Linked DNA regions of Arabidopsis thaliana. The protein of the gene in region 1 purifies or fractionates together with the protein of each later gene. This does not show direct contact. Each region holds a gene or a part of one and is shown on either strand. Other genes may lie near its edges.

Region 1 (9,588 bases):
GAGTCCTCTAGCAGTGTCTTGAGCAATCTTCAGTCTGGTGGACCAAGGAAGAGGAGTGACTATAAAACGATTGGATAAATGGTCTTGAACACTTCTGTTTTGTACGTATTCGTAAACAAGTAGCCGTTGGATCCCTCTCTCATCATCCTCAGCGCAATAACCGATCAGCTTCACCAGATTCGGATGCTCCACTACTCCCAATACATTTACCTCTGTCACCCATTCTTTATGCCCCTGTTAATGCATACGTAGTTGTTTTTATTGTTGGGTACTGAAGGAGGTTGTGTAAAACAGAAGCAAACTAAAGAGAGAGAAAAAGATTTGCTTGCCTGTAGACCTCTTCTACTAAGTTGTTTAACTGCAATATCAATCTTTTTACGAGAATCTTGAGGGTTCTGAATCACGCCACGAAAGACACCACCAAAGCCACCTTCACCGATCATCAAGGAGCGGCTGAAGTTCTTGGTAGCGGTTTTAAGGTCATCGAGGACAAATACTTTGAGATTATTACTGTGTGTCTCTGAGAGGACGTGCAAGGAAGAAGTAATGGAAGTAGCAGTACTTGTATCTGAATTAAACTCAGACCCTGATCCTCCTCTAGCCATCGTAGCTGAACCAAACTTTCTAGTCTTAGCTTCATCATCCTGAGTTTTGTCTTTGCTGAAGTAGAAACATTTCATTGCCTTAGATGAAACCAGCCTCTTCACTATCCAAACCAGGTCCACATTCCAAGTCAACACAAACAGAAACACGATCAGAGATGAATTAACAGAGATAATCACCAATCATTCAATCCATACCAGATATCAAGTTATCAACACAAAAATCATCACATTTCAACTAGATTCCCTGACATTTGGAAGAATGTAGAACAAAAATCGATATACAACACAAAAGTAGAAATGTGGTAAGAGTGTTGAGAATCAGAAAGGGAAAGAGAAGAAACCTGATGTAGAATTATTCATGAGGATGAATGGAATGCTGTGATGGGGGTCTTCATGATCATGATTGAGAGAGCTTTAAAGCAAAAGAAAATGGTAGAGAAAGAGATAAGAGGAGAAGAGAGAAGACGAGCTCACCATGATCGAATGGGGGAAGTCAAATAGGCAATGGCAGCTGGATTGCCGCTTACCAACCTATAGAAGAAGCCTTTTATAATATTTTATTTTGTGTTACACCCGCTTGCTTACTTATATCAATCAATACCTTAATAGAGAACGCGTTGTTTATTAAAAAAATTTCCCCGTGTATATTCACCATTTAATCTTTAAGGTACGGTTTAGAAGAGAAATTCAAATGAACTTTCCTCTTCTATGGAAGCTTCGTGTAATTTATCTAAAACTATGTATAGTTTTAATTTATTAAAAATTGATAGTCAAATTATAGAAAATATTTAATGTTGTTGAAATAGGTGGTACTCGAAACGTAAGAAAAAATGATGAGGTGAGGAAAAGCGTTGGAAAGAAACTTTGGGGGTGAGAATTTTTGGTATAGAAGAGACGTACATTATGGAAGTAGAGAGACTAAGTGTCAGCTATTTGAGAATCCACCTATAGCTATCTCAAAACTAACTCCACACCTAAACTTGCATCATCTCAACATCTTCCTCCTACCTACTCTTTAACTCTTGGTTTCTCTTACTTGGTCCAGTCTTTCCACTATTGAACTTCCAAGACACCAACAGTCGCGTTGTAAGTCTGTCTATTTACTTCATTTGACGAGAGCATAGTGCTCGGTTATCTGCAAGCGAATACAACATAATGACTTCAGAAAAAAAACCATCGAAGCAAAACAGGTTCCTACTTAGTGAAACCAAACCCACATAATACATATCCTAATTTCTTTACCTGTTTTTTTTACTGCTATTACTCCACCTCATTGTATTCAACCACTGCATCATAAGTCTCCATCGTGAGTATACTCTCCGCAAAACATCTGAAAAATGTTTTCTTTCTCATCAGAAATAGTATATGACCAAAAAACCTAAACCAAACAGATATCAGCTCTATCATCTGTTCAGACTTACAAGTCACTAGGTTTAGGTTGCCTATGTGTTTTCTGTACTACTATACTAAACCTGTAACTACTTGAAACTCTGAAAAAACCCTAGCGTATAAAAATCTTACCTTAGTTCATGCCAAAATATATCCACCTTATCAGACAAGAATTTTCGAAGAGAGGAGACTTCATCTTCCACCAACATCCCGGTCTGCCCGGTTTGTCGATTATTCTCTCTCTCAAGCCTTTTGATGAAAAGAGCTGACGCAAAATGAACAATAACTGAGGGATCAGGATCTCCAAGGACTGCCTGAAGCTCTCTTCTAATCCATGGCTCAATTCTTTCAGTTATCTTTGCTTTGGTGTAATCATTCACCGCCAAACTCTACAATAATCCAAGATGACACAACGAAGCAGGTATATATAAGGCTTCCAATGTGAACATATATCCAATAATGTAAGAGTGTAAACCCCAATACTACAAACATCAAACAGAGAAGAACACATTGTATAATGAAACTTACTAGTTCCAAGCGCCTTGAATGTAATCGAACAGCTCGTAATTGCTTAGTGTATATGCTGTATTTAGAGCCAACACTAGTTAGAAACAACGGCGAACTAATCTAACACTTCGAAAAAGGAGATTGCAAATGAAGCTATAGAGTTAGAATCAATAGTAAACCAACCTAGCTCGCCACTGAAGCTTTCGCTGGAAGATAACAGAATCAGGAACTGAACCTGGTCGTCCAAATGATCTCCGCCATGGCAATGGCCTTGATCTTGAGCTAGAGTTTTCCAAAACATCCCTCGACCTTTGAATTATCCTAATGAAATAATAACCAAGTGAATATAATAAAGAAGTGATTTTTAACTTCATAGAGAGGATCTTAGAGAGAGAGATAACCTCCGGCGATCGGAAGGATTATTCCGATGATAAGTTAAAGTCTCACGATCACGAAGAATTGGTAATTGCTCCTTATGGTATTTTCTAGAAGCAAAATCACTAACGATAAACCAGGAATCAAAACGAGTGTTACAAAGAGGACAATTCCTCTTGAAGCTGCTCCACTTCCGAATACAAGCAAGGCAGTATCCGTGCTTGCACACCGTGATCACGGCGGCGGATCTTCGCTCGGTTAGATTTTCGAGGCATATCGGACACGATTTCCCCTGTAAAGCAGGAAATATTGCTCTCCCTGCAAATTTCGCGATACTTTCCGGCGATCGAAGATGTCTCGAAGACGAAGGCGCCGTGGAGGACGGTAATGGAGGCATGACCGGAGATAGAGATTGTTCGGTGAAGTCGGGCTCTTGGAAAAGTCGGGTTTTAATGAACCGAGATGGATTTCAGATAGATAACCGGTTAATGTCGGTTTGGGTTGACTCGGTTCGAGATTTCTTGTTTCAAAATGAAGAGCGAGCGTGAAGGATCTTTTACTTCATCGCTGCTCCGAAGAAAAAACTTCACCATTGCCACTAACGACGAACTCTCTTGTCTCTGAAATGGAGGTTCCAAAGGAGCAGATCGCGACTTTAATAGAGCATGGGCTTTACGATTCTGCTGAAATGCTCGTAACTTCTCTAGCTTTTAGCTCATTTTGATTGTCTATCTCTTTTTTTCTAAATCCCTAGTTTTCATCAAGAGCTAATGAAATTCTCTCTATATATGCAACTAAATCCAGGGCTGCTTTCTCGTTTCTTCTCCTACTGTTAGTGCCGAAACTAGTCCTCAGCTCAAGGCGGAGAATTTGGTTAAGCTTCTTTCTCCGTCGATATTTTCTATTTTAGTAGCTGCTGAGTCCGTTAGATTGAAGTTAGATTCTTTCTGTGTTTTTTAATCAGATTCTACTGGGTGATGCTTTATTTCATCAGAGAGAACACCGGAGAGCTATTGTAAGTTCTCAAAAGTTTCATTCTTTATGTTTCTCTTTTGCTGTGAAGGAAATGTTACTCAGTTCTCGATAGTTTAGTTCTGCCTCAAATTTGAACTCTATAAATCATTCTCGGAACTTGAATTTGACTGGATTATGATAAAATTGTAAAGATTCTGATTATATGAATTTATGGAGTGAGCAGAGATAAGTTTTATATTTGTATTGCTTATTCTTTTCCTGTGGATTACTTTGAAGTCATCTCGAAATTCTGAATATGTATTCCTTCTTTTTGTCAGCATACGTACAAGCAAGCGTTGCATCATTACACAAGGATTCCGAAGCAAAGCTCCGGTATTTCGAGGAGTTCATTATCTTTATCTACCAGATCATCTGTGAATGCCTCCAGCATTTCTGCTATTAATGAGAACGAGGTAAATAACTGTGTTGCAGTTTCCAGAAAGTGATGTGGTTTGGTTTAATTTCATTGGAGTTCATGTGCATCTTCTTTTTCTAACTTTCCTTTTAGGTGAGATTCAAGATTGCTTCATCTCACTTTGCTCTTAATGAAACAAAAGCTGCGATTGCTGAGGTATGAGTGTCATCTGTTTGTCTGGTTTTCAAGATTTATTTAGTCTTCTGGATTTGTTGGTCTAGAAACTTTGGTATATAGAAAATAAAATATGTGTGTATGAGACGGTAAAAGAGCTGTCTAGGGATTTCTCTATTTCTAAGATTATAGATTGGTTTTGTATAGGATGACTTTTATGTCTTGCTATTGTATTTTATAACCAGAGTTAAGTAACTGTAATTTCAGTGAAACATTCTTGGGCCGTAACTAATGCATTGTTATAGTATTCCTGAATGTGAGTTGAATTTTGTTGCGTTGACCTGCTCCCATCAATGCAAATCCATATTACAAAACAAGTAAACTAATTGGATTCCTTCCAACACTGCATGTAGGTATTAGGGATGATAAAGCCATGGTCTGCTTAGCTATAATCTATTTTTGCACTTGTTATTTCTTTGCCAGATGGAATCTGTCAAGACCAGGAGCTTAGAGATGAATATACTGATGGCAAAGCTTCATCGAAATTCTGGATACAACCGTGGTGCTATTGCTTTTTATAAAGAGTGTTTAAGGTCTGTTTTTCGTTTTCTTTCCCAACATTTCCTAGCATAGAAACACTGTTATAATATCTCACTTTTTACGTTAAATACCAATTCAACACATAGTAAACATATATATAATCTTTAATCTCTGCAGGCAGTGTCCTTATGTACTTGAAGCCGTCATAGGTTTAGCTGAACTGGGAGTTAGTGCAAAGGATATCATATCATCGTTTACTCAGGTGTCCCTTTCTACGAGATTTCTTTCACCACTTCTTCAAATGTGTTTTGCACCTCTTTCTCTCTATTTTGCAATTACCTTTTCTGTGTGAAATCCATACAACTTTGTAATTTGTTGTGTCATTTGTTCATTTCAGACTTCAAATAGAAGTGCAAAGGTTTCACTCGATCAGATAGATCCTACCCGCTGGTTGCAAGTAAGCTTACTCTTTAACAGGATTTACAACGTTGAAAATTGTTTGAAAGTACACTCATTAATCATGCCGCCAAGCTGATTATTGTACGTGAGTTAGAATCTTATTTTATCAACTATTTTCCCCCGAATACGACTTCATATATAATGATTCTAAGAATTCTGTCTTCAAGCTGTTCATGTGTGGAAAGTGAATAAATCGTCTTAATAGTATTATTCCCTTTAACAAAGTAGTGCTTTGATGTTCTTGTGTTAGTAGAAGCTCGACTATTTAACCAGGAAACTAATACTCCACATAACTTTTCTTGGATGGATGTTTCATTGGTTTCATGTTGTAGCATACCTGGCAATAAAATCTATTTTCTTCTTTGTCTTTTTCGGTAATTTTTCTTTGTTTTCACAGCGTTATGTAGAGGCCCAGTGTTGTGTTGCTTCGCATGCTTACAAAGGTAGCTCTCTTTTCTTTTTGGGATGCCTATGCCTACAATGGATGAAATAAGGCATTTAGTTCTTTTTTTTTAACCTTGTAGATTTCATTTCTTGCATTTTATTTGTGGGAAATTCTGCAATCTGATGCTTGCTTTACTGGATATGGTGTAATATTTTTTTGTTACTCAGGGGCGCTGGAACTCTTTGCTGAACTCTTACAACGATTTCCAAATAATGTACACTTGTTGACTGAGACAGCAAAGGTTAGGGATGACATCGACTACGATGCAAACAGAATTTCACCTGAATTTTTCATTTTATCATGACTGACGCTGATTGACATTTATTTCATTTGTATAGGTTGAAGCCATTATTGGGAAAAATGATGAGGCCATAATGAGATTTGAGAAGGTAGTCACCACATGGATATTTTTTTCTCAATTCTCAACTTCTTTAATTCATGCATAATCATCTAAAAGCTTTTATAGGTTCGGTCAATTGATCCTTACACACTAACCAGTATGGATGAGTATGCGATGCTGCTTCAGATTAAGTGTGATTATTCCAGGCTAAACAAGCTCGTCCACGATTTATTAAGCGTTGATCATACCAGAGCAGAAGTATTTGTTGCTTTGTCTGTACTATGGGAAAGGAAAGATGCAAGGACGGCATTATCTTATGCTGAGAAGGTTAGCTTTTTTCTGACACTGAATTTTTGTGCCAAAATCTTTGTGTGATAGCTCATGACATACACTATGCAATCAGAGTATCAGGGTAGACGAGAGGCACATACCCGGCTACATAATGAAGGTAAGCTAGTTCAACGAGGAGTTTATTTATTTTTAGTAAGTTTGCATATATATATATATCCACTAATTTGTTAAGACGTCAGGGAAATCTACTTTTACAAGCAAAACGACCAGAAGCTGCAGCGATCGCCTTCAGGGCTGCCCAGAATTTGAGGTCCGATCTTCGTTCATATCAAGGTCTGGTTCACGAGGGAAAAAGATCTGATATACACTTCCACTGTTGTACTGTTTTGGTGGTATAAACCTTTAACAATCATGAAAAGGTTGGAGTGTGTAATTAACTTGCGCTATTGAGGTCATTTCAGGCTTAGTCCATTCTTATCTTGCATTTGGTAAAACCAAAGAAGCATTGTATACCGCCAGGGAAGCAATGAATGCAATGCCTCAATCCGCGAAGGCTCTGAAATTAGTTGGTGATGTTCATGCGTTTACATCAAGTGGCAGGGAAAAGGTACAAACATTCAGCTTTGTTATGCTTCTATGGTGTCAATTTTCATCATATCAATATTCTATCCAGATTTTTTACATCTTAATCAGAAGCGGTGAAAGCTTTAGGGAGTTAGTTGCATATAATACTAAATATTGAAACTGGGAAAGTTCCTTAAACTTAACTGTTCAAATCTCAATTTTGATAAGCATAGTGTATACCAAATCTGAGAAACTATTCAGAGCTTGTGAGTATCTTCTTGTGATCTTTACATTATGTATAAAAATTTATGGTGTAACAGTAGAATGATATGGTTTTATAACAGGCAAAAAAGTTTTACGAGTCAGGTCTGAGGCTGGAACCTGGGTACCTTGGAGCTGTGTTAGCCCTAGCTGAGCTTCATCTAATGGAAGGGAGGAATGGAGATGCTGTATCACTACTTGAACGATATCTCAAAGATTATGCAGATGATTCTCTCCACGTCAAGCTAGCTCAAGTGTTTGCTGCAACGAATATGCTACAAGATTCTTTATCACACTTTCAAGCTGCATTAAGGTTTATGAAATTCTAAGCCAGTAGTGCTTATAGTTCTTGTTGCTCCTATGCGAAACAATAACGATATAACAGAGTGTAAATAATGTAAACGCAGAATAAATCCACAGAATGAGGCAGCCAAAAAGGGACTAGATCGCTTGGAGAAACAAATGAAGGTTGGGAAGAATCAAATCGAACCATTTTATTATGAAGCTCGAACAAGGATGATGTTTAGTGTATTCACAAAATTGGGGTGTTTGTTGCAGGGAATAGACCCAGATGCAACAGATGAGAATGACGAGAACGATGTTGAAGATGTTGATGGAGACACCGAAGAAGCTGAGCTCATGTGAAGAGTAGAGAGACAGAAGAGTGTGTAAACTGTAAAACTATCGAATCCTTAACATTAATATTAATAGCAAATGTCATTCCTTTTGTTTCCTATAAACAAACTTAGAATATGAAAAGAAACGAAAAAAAAGACCAATATTCTACAACATTGGACGTCGTGACGTGTAAATACGCCATTGGTTAAAACACACCAAGAGAACCCATTACCAAAGTCTCACGGAGAATCCCATCTCTTTCCCCACGCCAACTCAATCTTTTTCGTCGTCAAAAGCCAAAGCTTTTTGCTTTTTTGTCTTAATGGGTTTCATCTCTTGCATCTCATTTCCGACGATCAATTCAAGAATTCTATCGACTCACCACTTTTCCAAGCACTCGACTTCAGCGTCTTCTTCATATTCACTTAAGTTTGCTTTGAGACGTCAGGAGGATAAACCCAAAGTCTCGTTTTTTCTTCCATTAACGTCTTCGTTAATGGCGACCCCTATTCAAGCCTCTTCTTCCTCCACCATTGGTATCTTCACTCTCTACTTCTTCAATTCGACTGCTTTAAGGATTAGTGAACTTTGACTTTTAAGATAATCCTATGTTAATCTTTTATGCTTAGTGAGGTAATTAGAGCTTTCGAATGATTTACAATTTCTGATTACATTGATGAGGAAGCTAAGAATATGGTAAATGAAGGTTTAGTGATCTGCCTCTCCAAAGTAGTGACCTTTTTAATATGTTGTTTTGTATGAAGGTGAGACCAGTGATGGCTTGAAGGTCCAGTCTCATGTTTCAATTGGAGCAAACGATCTGCTGATTGTTGGACCGGGTGTTCTTGGACGCTTAGTTGCAGAACAGTGGAGACAGGTATAATTTCTGTGTTGTATATCCCCTACAGGGGACTTAGCTCAATTTGATACTTACTCATATTCTTCTTATAGAACATCCGATAGATATGGTGTTTCTGTACTACGAAAACAAAAACGTTTATGATGTCCTGCAAATCCCTGTTTTAATGTGTCTTGAGTGTTTATCAATATGGTGTGTGTGTGGATAGTGACTAGTACTTTTTCTTCACAACGTATATATAGTAAGAGTCATGTTTTTCACAATATGGAAGTTAGAGTTAGAGCTTTATATGTGGAGCAGGAACATCCAGAGTCTCAAATCTTTGGGCAGACAGTAACAACAAATCATCATGGTGAGTTGGAGAATTTGGGTATCAAACCATCTCTTAAAGGAACCGAATATGGGGGAAAGTTCTCCTATGTGATCTTTTGTGCTCCACCATCACAAAGCGCTGATTATGCTGGTGAAGTCAGGTGATTAATTACAAAAAATCTTATGTTTTAATAACTAGAAAGTCAATTTATGCATTATGATCTGTTAGTGAATGCCAGAAATGTCGACTATTGTGCGCTTGACTTTATTAGCTGGAGAAGAAAAATGAAGCTAAACGTCAATTTGTGCTTTTTAGTTCATCCTATGTGACAACAGTAAAAACATTTGCCTTCATTCAACTGTCTAATATGTGTGTATGCTTGTGTTTACAATCGGATCAGGAATGCAGCATCAAACTGGAATGGCGAAGGATCATTCTTATTCACATCTAGTTCTGCACCTTATGATTGCTTTGATAAC
Region 2 (5,350 bases), 1.3 Mb from region 1:
CATTATTCTTGAGAAGTCCAGCTAAACACTTAAGAATTTCACGACTTTGACTATCTTCCTTCAAGAATCTGCTGAGGGTATCATTTGCCATAGCTGTGTCCCGTATTGCCCTTGCAGTTTTTGCTGTTTCCTTCCTCGAATGAACAAAAATAAGGACCTGGTGTTTTCCAGCAACAGCCACTACTTTCTGATAACATATATCATTCATCAACTGGAACCTCCGTAACGGCTTTTTCACATTAATTCCTATATACTGCTGACCGAGAGGCACAGGTCTGTAGCTACGGTCAAATATAAACAACCCATTTTTAAGATCCACTCGCAAAAATGAAGCCACATCGTCACAATTTGGCAGTGTTGCAGATAAACCTACCAGACGAATATGCTCCTTTGTGCTTTCAATCTGCCTAAGAGTCCTAGCGACAATACTTTCAAGCACAGGCCCTCGATTATCATCAAGAAGATGAATTTCGTCGATTATAAGAAGCCTCACAAGCTGTGTATAAGTGCGATCTCCAGATTTCCTGGTGATGATATCCCACTTCTCTGGCGTTGTAACAATTATCTGAGTCTCTTTGATTTCTTGCCCAGTAAGGGACTGATCCCCACTGAGTTCCTTCACAGTAACTCCAAAATCCTTCAAACGTTGAGATAGACTATCCACGACCTCAGCAACAAGGGCTTTCATTGGTGCAACATAGACAATTTTGTAATTACCATGATTAAACGTTCCACCAGGGTTCATATTCAATCCAAGCTGGTGCAGTATGGTGAGCACGGCAACATTGGTCTTCCCAGCACCAGTTGGAGCACAAAGAAGAATGTTGTCAGCCTTAAAAAGAGCAGTGCCGTACACTTTGCTCTGAACCCTATTCAACTGCTGCATTCCCCTAAAAGCTGGTTGGGCCCACTCTGGCAAATCGCTAATTTTCACAAGCTTTTCATTACTATCAAACTTTTTAGAAACCCACGGCACATGAACCTCATCAAATTCCTTGCCACGTATTCTGAAAGAGCGATCAGGAAGCTCACACTTGTTATTCTCCCTCGTGAAACCACCTTGGTTAAAAGCAAGGCTCTCCAGGTCCATCACCTGACGCTGGCCCTTCAACCAACCATTCTCCAAATCTAAATCATCAACATCTCTCATGCCTCTGTCTCCGTCAACACCAGAATCATCATCCATAAGATGTTGAGCTTCTTCTTTGATATCTTTCTCCCGTTTCTCCTCCCTTTCTTTGGCTGTTGCTCTTTTGGCATGCAACTCCTTAACAATTGCTGCCAACTCTGAACCTAACCCCAACATCTCCTCCTCAATTTGATTCCTCTCTTCCTGGTCTCTTCCCCTAGCCAAACGGGTGCACCACACAACTTTAAGACGGTTTTGCAACAGAAATTTAACAAGGCTGAACTTTTCAAACTGAAGGTGCTCAAGCAGCTTGATCTCAACATCCCTATCATTACCCTCAGCAAGTATCTTAAGCAGCTCTTCTGCGAGTTCCTGGCACTCTTGTGCATCAATCTTCTGCTCATATTCTTGAGATATCTTTCTCTGAAGCCAATAAGCATCAATATCCAGAACATTAAGACTCGTATCCTCCTTTGCCTGTCTTGCATCCTCGCCGTTTATTGCCACACCCACCTGGACAACTCCAGTTTTGTTAAGCTCAACAACATCTTCATCCTCCTCATCTTTTTCATCCTGGACCATATCAAGATCACTCTCATCATCATCCTCTTCACATTCAAGGGCAACACCAATATCATAATCAAGTCCTCCATCCTCACTAGCTTTACCACTTAAAGAATCACCACCCTCTTCATAGTCTGTAATCAGTTTTCCAATCGAAACAAACTGACTGAAAACCTGATCAGTAATAACGTTTAGTAGTTTCTCAATCTCTACCTTCTTTTCATGGTTTTTGACGGATTCATTCTTAAGAACTGCCAAAATCTCATCAGCCGCACCGCAAACAATGTCCAAAGGCTGCCCACCCAATTGCTGCTGGATAAGACCAAGCATAATCTCAAAAGCAACCCTTGTTTCCTTAGTCTTCGGCTGATAAACACCATCCTCCGTATCATTAAGTACACTCACCTCCCTAAGACGAACTCTTTTGCTCTCACGAGCAGACACCAAATCATCACAACGTTCCTTCTTCTTCTTAGATTTATTAAGCCGCTCATCTAACTCATGAGGCCTTCCCCTAACGACACGATCTCCAAAGGATTTCGGATCAATCCTACCCCTGAGACTCTCCGGTTCACCAGAAGATTCATGCGTATCACGACGACGCTCATCACTGTTAAGAACAAGACTGGAATTGACTTTGTACCCATACTGCTTCAACCTGGCTTGCTCCTCCGCACCACCACCACCCAAATTCGTCATCACCAAATCGGAAAAACAAACCCCAAATTCCAAGAATTAAATCAATGAAACAAAACAAAATTCGGAACGAAAAACTCTTCTATTACCTCTCTCCCGTTCTCCGTAATCGTCGTCTTAAGAATTTGATCGAGTCGATGAGTTTTTTTTTTTTTTCGTTCAACAGTCTTATATATACACCCTAAACAAGTCTTAAACCGACAATACATTGTCGGCCACAAATTCCAAACCCACGAAGGCCTGTCCGGAAGCCGACTAAAATTATGGAATTGTCCGGTTCAATCCGTTTTAACTATAATTAGAAGAAAACATTAATTAGAGTTGGTTCTTGATGAGTGTTTTCGTATAATCAGAGCAAGTTATCGTATCATTAGACCGTACCAACTAGCCAATCCGGTTTTCTGGTATTAGTAAAAAGCAGCGGTTGGATCCTATGACAATTAACGGTGAGGATTCGATCTTGAAAGCAATGCGTACGTAAATAGAATTGGGCCACAAGCCCAGTTTTATTCAGAAGGGCAAAATTGAAATCTGACAAAGAATTTGACGAATTGTGACAATGTGCGCTTTGAAAAAAAACGAAATTTATCCCGCGTGAGATGAAAAATTCAAAATATTTCACACAGGTGAAACCACTTTGACACGTGCGAGCTCGAAATTTTTCATTTTCAATTACAAAACCCGCCTAGAAAATGGTCTAAATTTTGTTTGCCAGATCGTCTCTCTCTCAAAAGCTTTTCTCTCTTTTTCTCCTTTGTCCCCTCCACTTTACCGTTCACGAAGCCATTCCGAGCTATCACGAAGGAATCTATTGAAGATTCATAGGTAAATCCATGGTTTGATTTGTTCAAGTAGGTTCTTTGTGATGTGACGGAGATTTGTTGCGAAAACGAAGAGTTGATCTCTTTTTCTTGTTGTTTATGAGGTTTCGAGAAAATCTGATTAACAATGGAGAACAAGACTGAGTTCTTGGGTTTTAATGTTGCGATTTCGATTTTGGGTGTGTTCTAATGGCATAGTTGTTTGATTTCTTCAGCGCTCAATCACAAATGCCAGAAGCACGAGATCGAATAGAGAGGCAAGTTGATTACCCAGCCGCATTTCTCAATAGACGCTCGCATGGTATTTTACTTGACGAACCAGCAACACAGCACAATTTGTTTGGGTCTCCGGTTCAGAGAGTGCCATCGGAAGCTACAGGAGGACTTGGGTCAATTGGTCAAGGATCTATGACGGGAAGAGGTGGGCTTGTGAGGGGTAATTTCGGTATTCGGCGGACTGGTGGTGGTAGAAGAGGTCAAATTCAATTTAGATCGCCACAGGGACGAGAGAACATGAGCTTGGGTGTTACAAGGCGTGGAAGGGCTCGTGCTTCAAATTCTGTCTTACCTTCTTGGTATCCAAGAACGCCCCTCCGTGATATTTCTGCCGTTGTTAGGGTTAGTTCACTAAACCTAGTCTCATTTTGGATTTGTCTGCTTATTCTTAGATTTAACTGGAGTTTTTTTCATTGATATATAGCTAATTTGTGATCTGTTTATATCTGGTTTGTGATTTGCATATTGGTTCAGAATCTGCTGCTTATAAGCTAGATTAGTCTTCTGTAACAGGCTTGCTTAGCCTCTTTGTTAACTATATCATAAGTCATAACCTGTTACCAAAAGGCTTGCTTAGTCTGGCTATTTACAAACTCTTATATGCAGGCTATTGAGAGAAGGAGAGCTCGTATGGGAGAAGGTGTTGGCCGAGATATTGAGACCCCAACTCCACAACAACTTGGGGTTCTTGATTCTCTAGTACCGTTGTCAGGTGCTCATCTCGAGCACGACTATTCTATGGTTACTCCCGGTCCATCTATTGGATTCAAGCGTCCTTGGCCACCCTCAACTGCTAAAGTCCATCAGATTTTGCTCGACATCACAAGAGAAAACACAGGGGAAGAAGATGCCCTCACTCCAGAGAAGAAGCTCCTCAACTCTATTGATAAAGTGGAGAAGGTTGTGATGGAAGAGATTCAGAAAATGAAGAGCACTCCTAGTGCTAAAAGAGCAGAAAGGGAGAAAAGAGTTAGGACGCTAATGTCGATGCGATGATGATTCATCATCCTCTGGTGATTCACTAGAAAGAGGTAATCATCTCTGTGATGATATATAGTAGGGAGATTCTATCATTTTTCTAATGATAAAAAAGAAGAAGAAATTCATCTTCTGATGATATATCATATGGGAGATAACTGTTAGATAGTTCACGGGTTTATGTTGGATCCCTTTTACTTTTAGGCTTTTTGTATGATGAGGATGTCTTCTTGATTCAGGATATTGTAGTTAAACAGTTGTACAGAAGTTTGGTTTGTTGGTAGAAATTGCAGATGTTCTTGTATGTGTGTATCTGTAATTGTCACAATCTAGGAAGTGCCTTCGAATAATAAAAACTTCTAATCATTTTTTTTTTTTAATTCCCATCAAACAATTTTCATATATGTTACGTCACACATTTTATATTTGGTAAAAGGTCACATCTGTTGTTTTGTTTTCTTTACAATGAGCATCTAATAAACAAGATTCGTCTGTGTCTGGATATAAATACAAGCATACTTCAAAAATTGTATCAATACCTGCCTGCAATGGATTTAAAACTAAACACTAAACTAATTATTCTCATCACATCCTTAGCTTTTCCTTTCATGCTTTATGCTCTCTTCAAATGGTTCTTGAAAGAGCAAGGTTCATTGGCTGCTACGAAGCTGCCACAGAGCCCTCCAGCTTTACCATTCATTGGCCACCTTCATTTGATAGGCAAAGTATTGCCTGTCTCATTCCAAAGTTTAGCTCACAAGTATGGCCCACTCATGGAGATACGTCTCGGTGCTTCTAAGTGCGTTGTGGTCTCAAGCTCTTCGGTGGCGAGAGAGATTTTCAAGGAGCAAGAGCTTAATTTCTCCTCGAGACCTGAGTTTGGTTC

The links. The genes of interacting proteins can lie anywhere in the genome.
Region 2: the proteins of APC7 (region 1) and UVI4 purify together in Arabidopsis thaliana (affinity purification with mass spectrometry, with the first as the bait; one large-scale study listed by BioGRID). This does not show direct contact.

What each region holds. Positions count from the first base shown.
Region 1 is NC_003071.7:16,311,147-16,320,734, reverse strand, and holds APC7 (tetratricopeptide repeat (TPR)-containing protein), read left to right. Parts: upstream 1-3,344; 5' UTR 3,345-3,501; coding exon 3,502-3,570; intron 3,571-3,680; coding exon 3,681-3,749; intron 3,750-3,840; coding exon 3,841-3,891; intron 3,892-4,168; coding exon 4,169-4,303; intron 4,304-4,398; coding exon 4,399-4,461; intron 4,462-4,902; coding exon 4,903-5,012; intron 5,013-5,136; coding exon 5,137-5,221; intron 5,222-5,356; coding exon 5,357-5,416; intron 5,417-5,815; coding exon 5,816-5,861; intron 5,862-6,030; coding exon 6,031-6,104; intron 6,105-6,201; coding exon 6,202-6,252; intron 6,253-6,329; coding exon 6,330-6,530; intron 6,531-6,606; coding exon 6,607-6,651; intron 6,652-6,733; coding exon 6,734-6,827; intron 6,828-6,955; coding exon 6,956-7,101; intron 7,102-7,402; coding exon 7,403-7,632; coding exon of another isoform or gene 7,633-7,648; exon of another isoform or gene 7,649-7,726; coding exon 7,727-7,787; intron 7,788-7,877; coding exon 7,878-7,964; 3' UTR 7,965-8,078; downstream 8,079-9,588. Other genes in the region: AT2G39110 (Protein kinase superfamily protein), read right to left, coding at 1-234, 330-706, 947-965; AT2G39100 (RING/U-box superfamily protein), read right to left, coding at 1,866-1,935, 2,127-2,383, 2,523-2,577, 2,685-2,822, 2,903-3,273; EMB2799 (NAD(P)-binding Rossmann-fold superfamily protein), read left to right, coding at 8,260-8,473, 8,702-8,814, 9,097-9,269, 9,510-9,588. UniProt on the Arabidopsis thaliana protein: Component of the anaphase promoting complex/cyclosome (APC/C), a cell cycle-regulated E3 ubiquitin-protein ligase complex that controls progression through mitosis and the G1 phase of the cell cycle.
Region 2 is NC_003071.7:17,601,372-17,606,721, reverse strand, and holds UVI4 (uv-b-insensitive 4), read left to right. Parts: upstream 1-3,016; 5' UTR 3,017-3,214; intron 3,215-3,264; exon of another isoform or gene 3,265-3,425; 5' UTR 3,426-3,438; coding exon 3,439-3,828; intron 3,829-4,092; coding exon 4,093-4,482; 3' UTR 4,483-4,850; downstream 4,851-5,350. Other genes in the region: AT2G42270 (U5 small nuclear ribonucleoprotein helicase), read right to left, coding at 1-2,392; CYP712A1 (cytochrome P450, family 712, subfamily A, polypeptide 1), read left to right, coding at 5,013-5,350. UniProt on the Arabidopsis thaliana protein: Negative regulator of the anaphase-promoting complex/cyclosome (APC/C) ubiquitin ligase required for proper mitotic progression and cell fate determination; inhibits premature cell differentiation.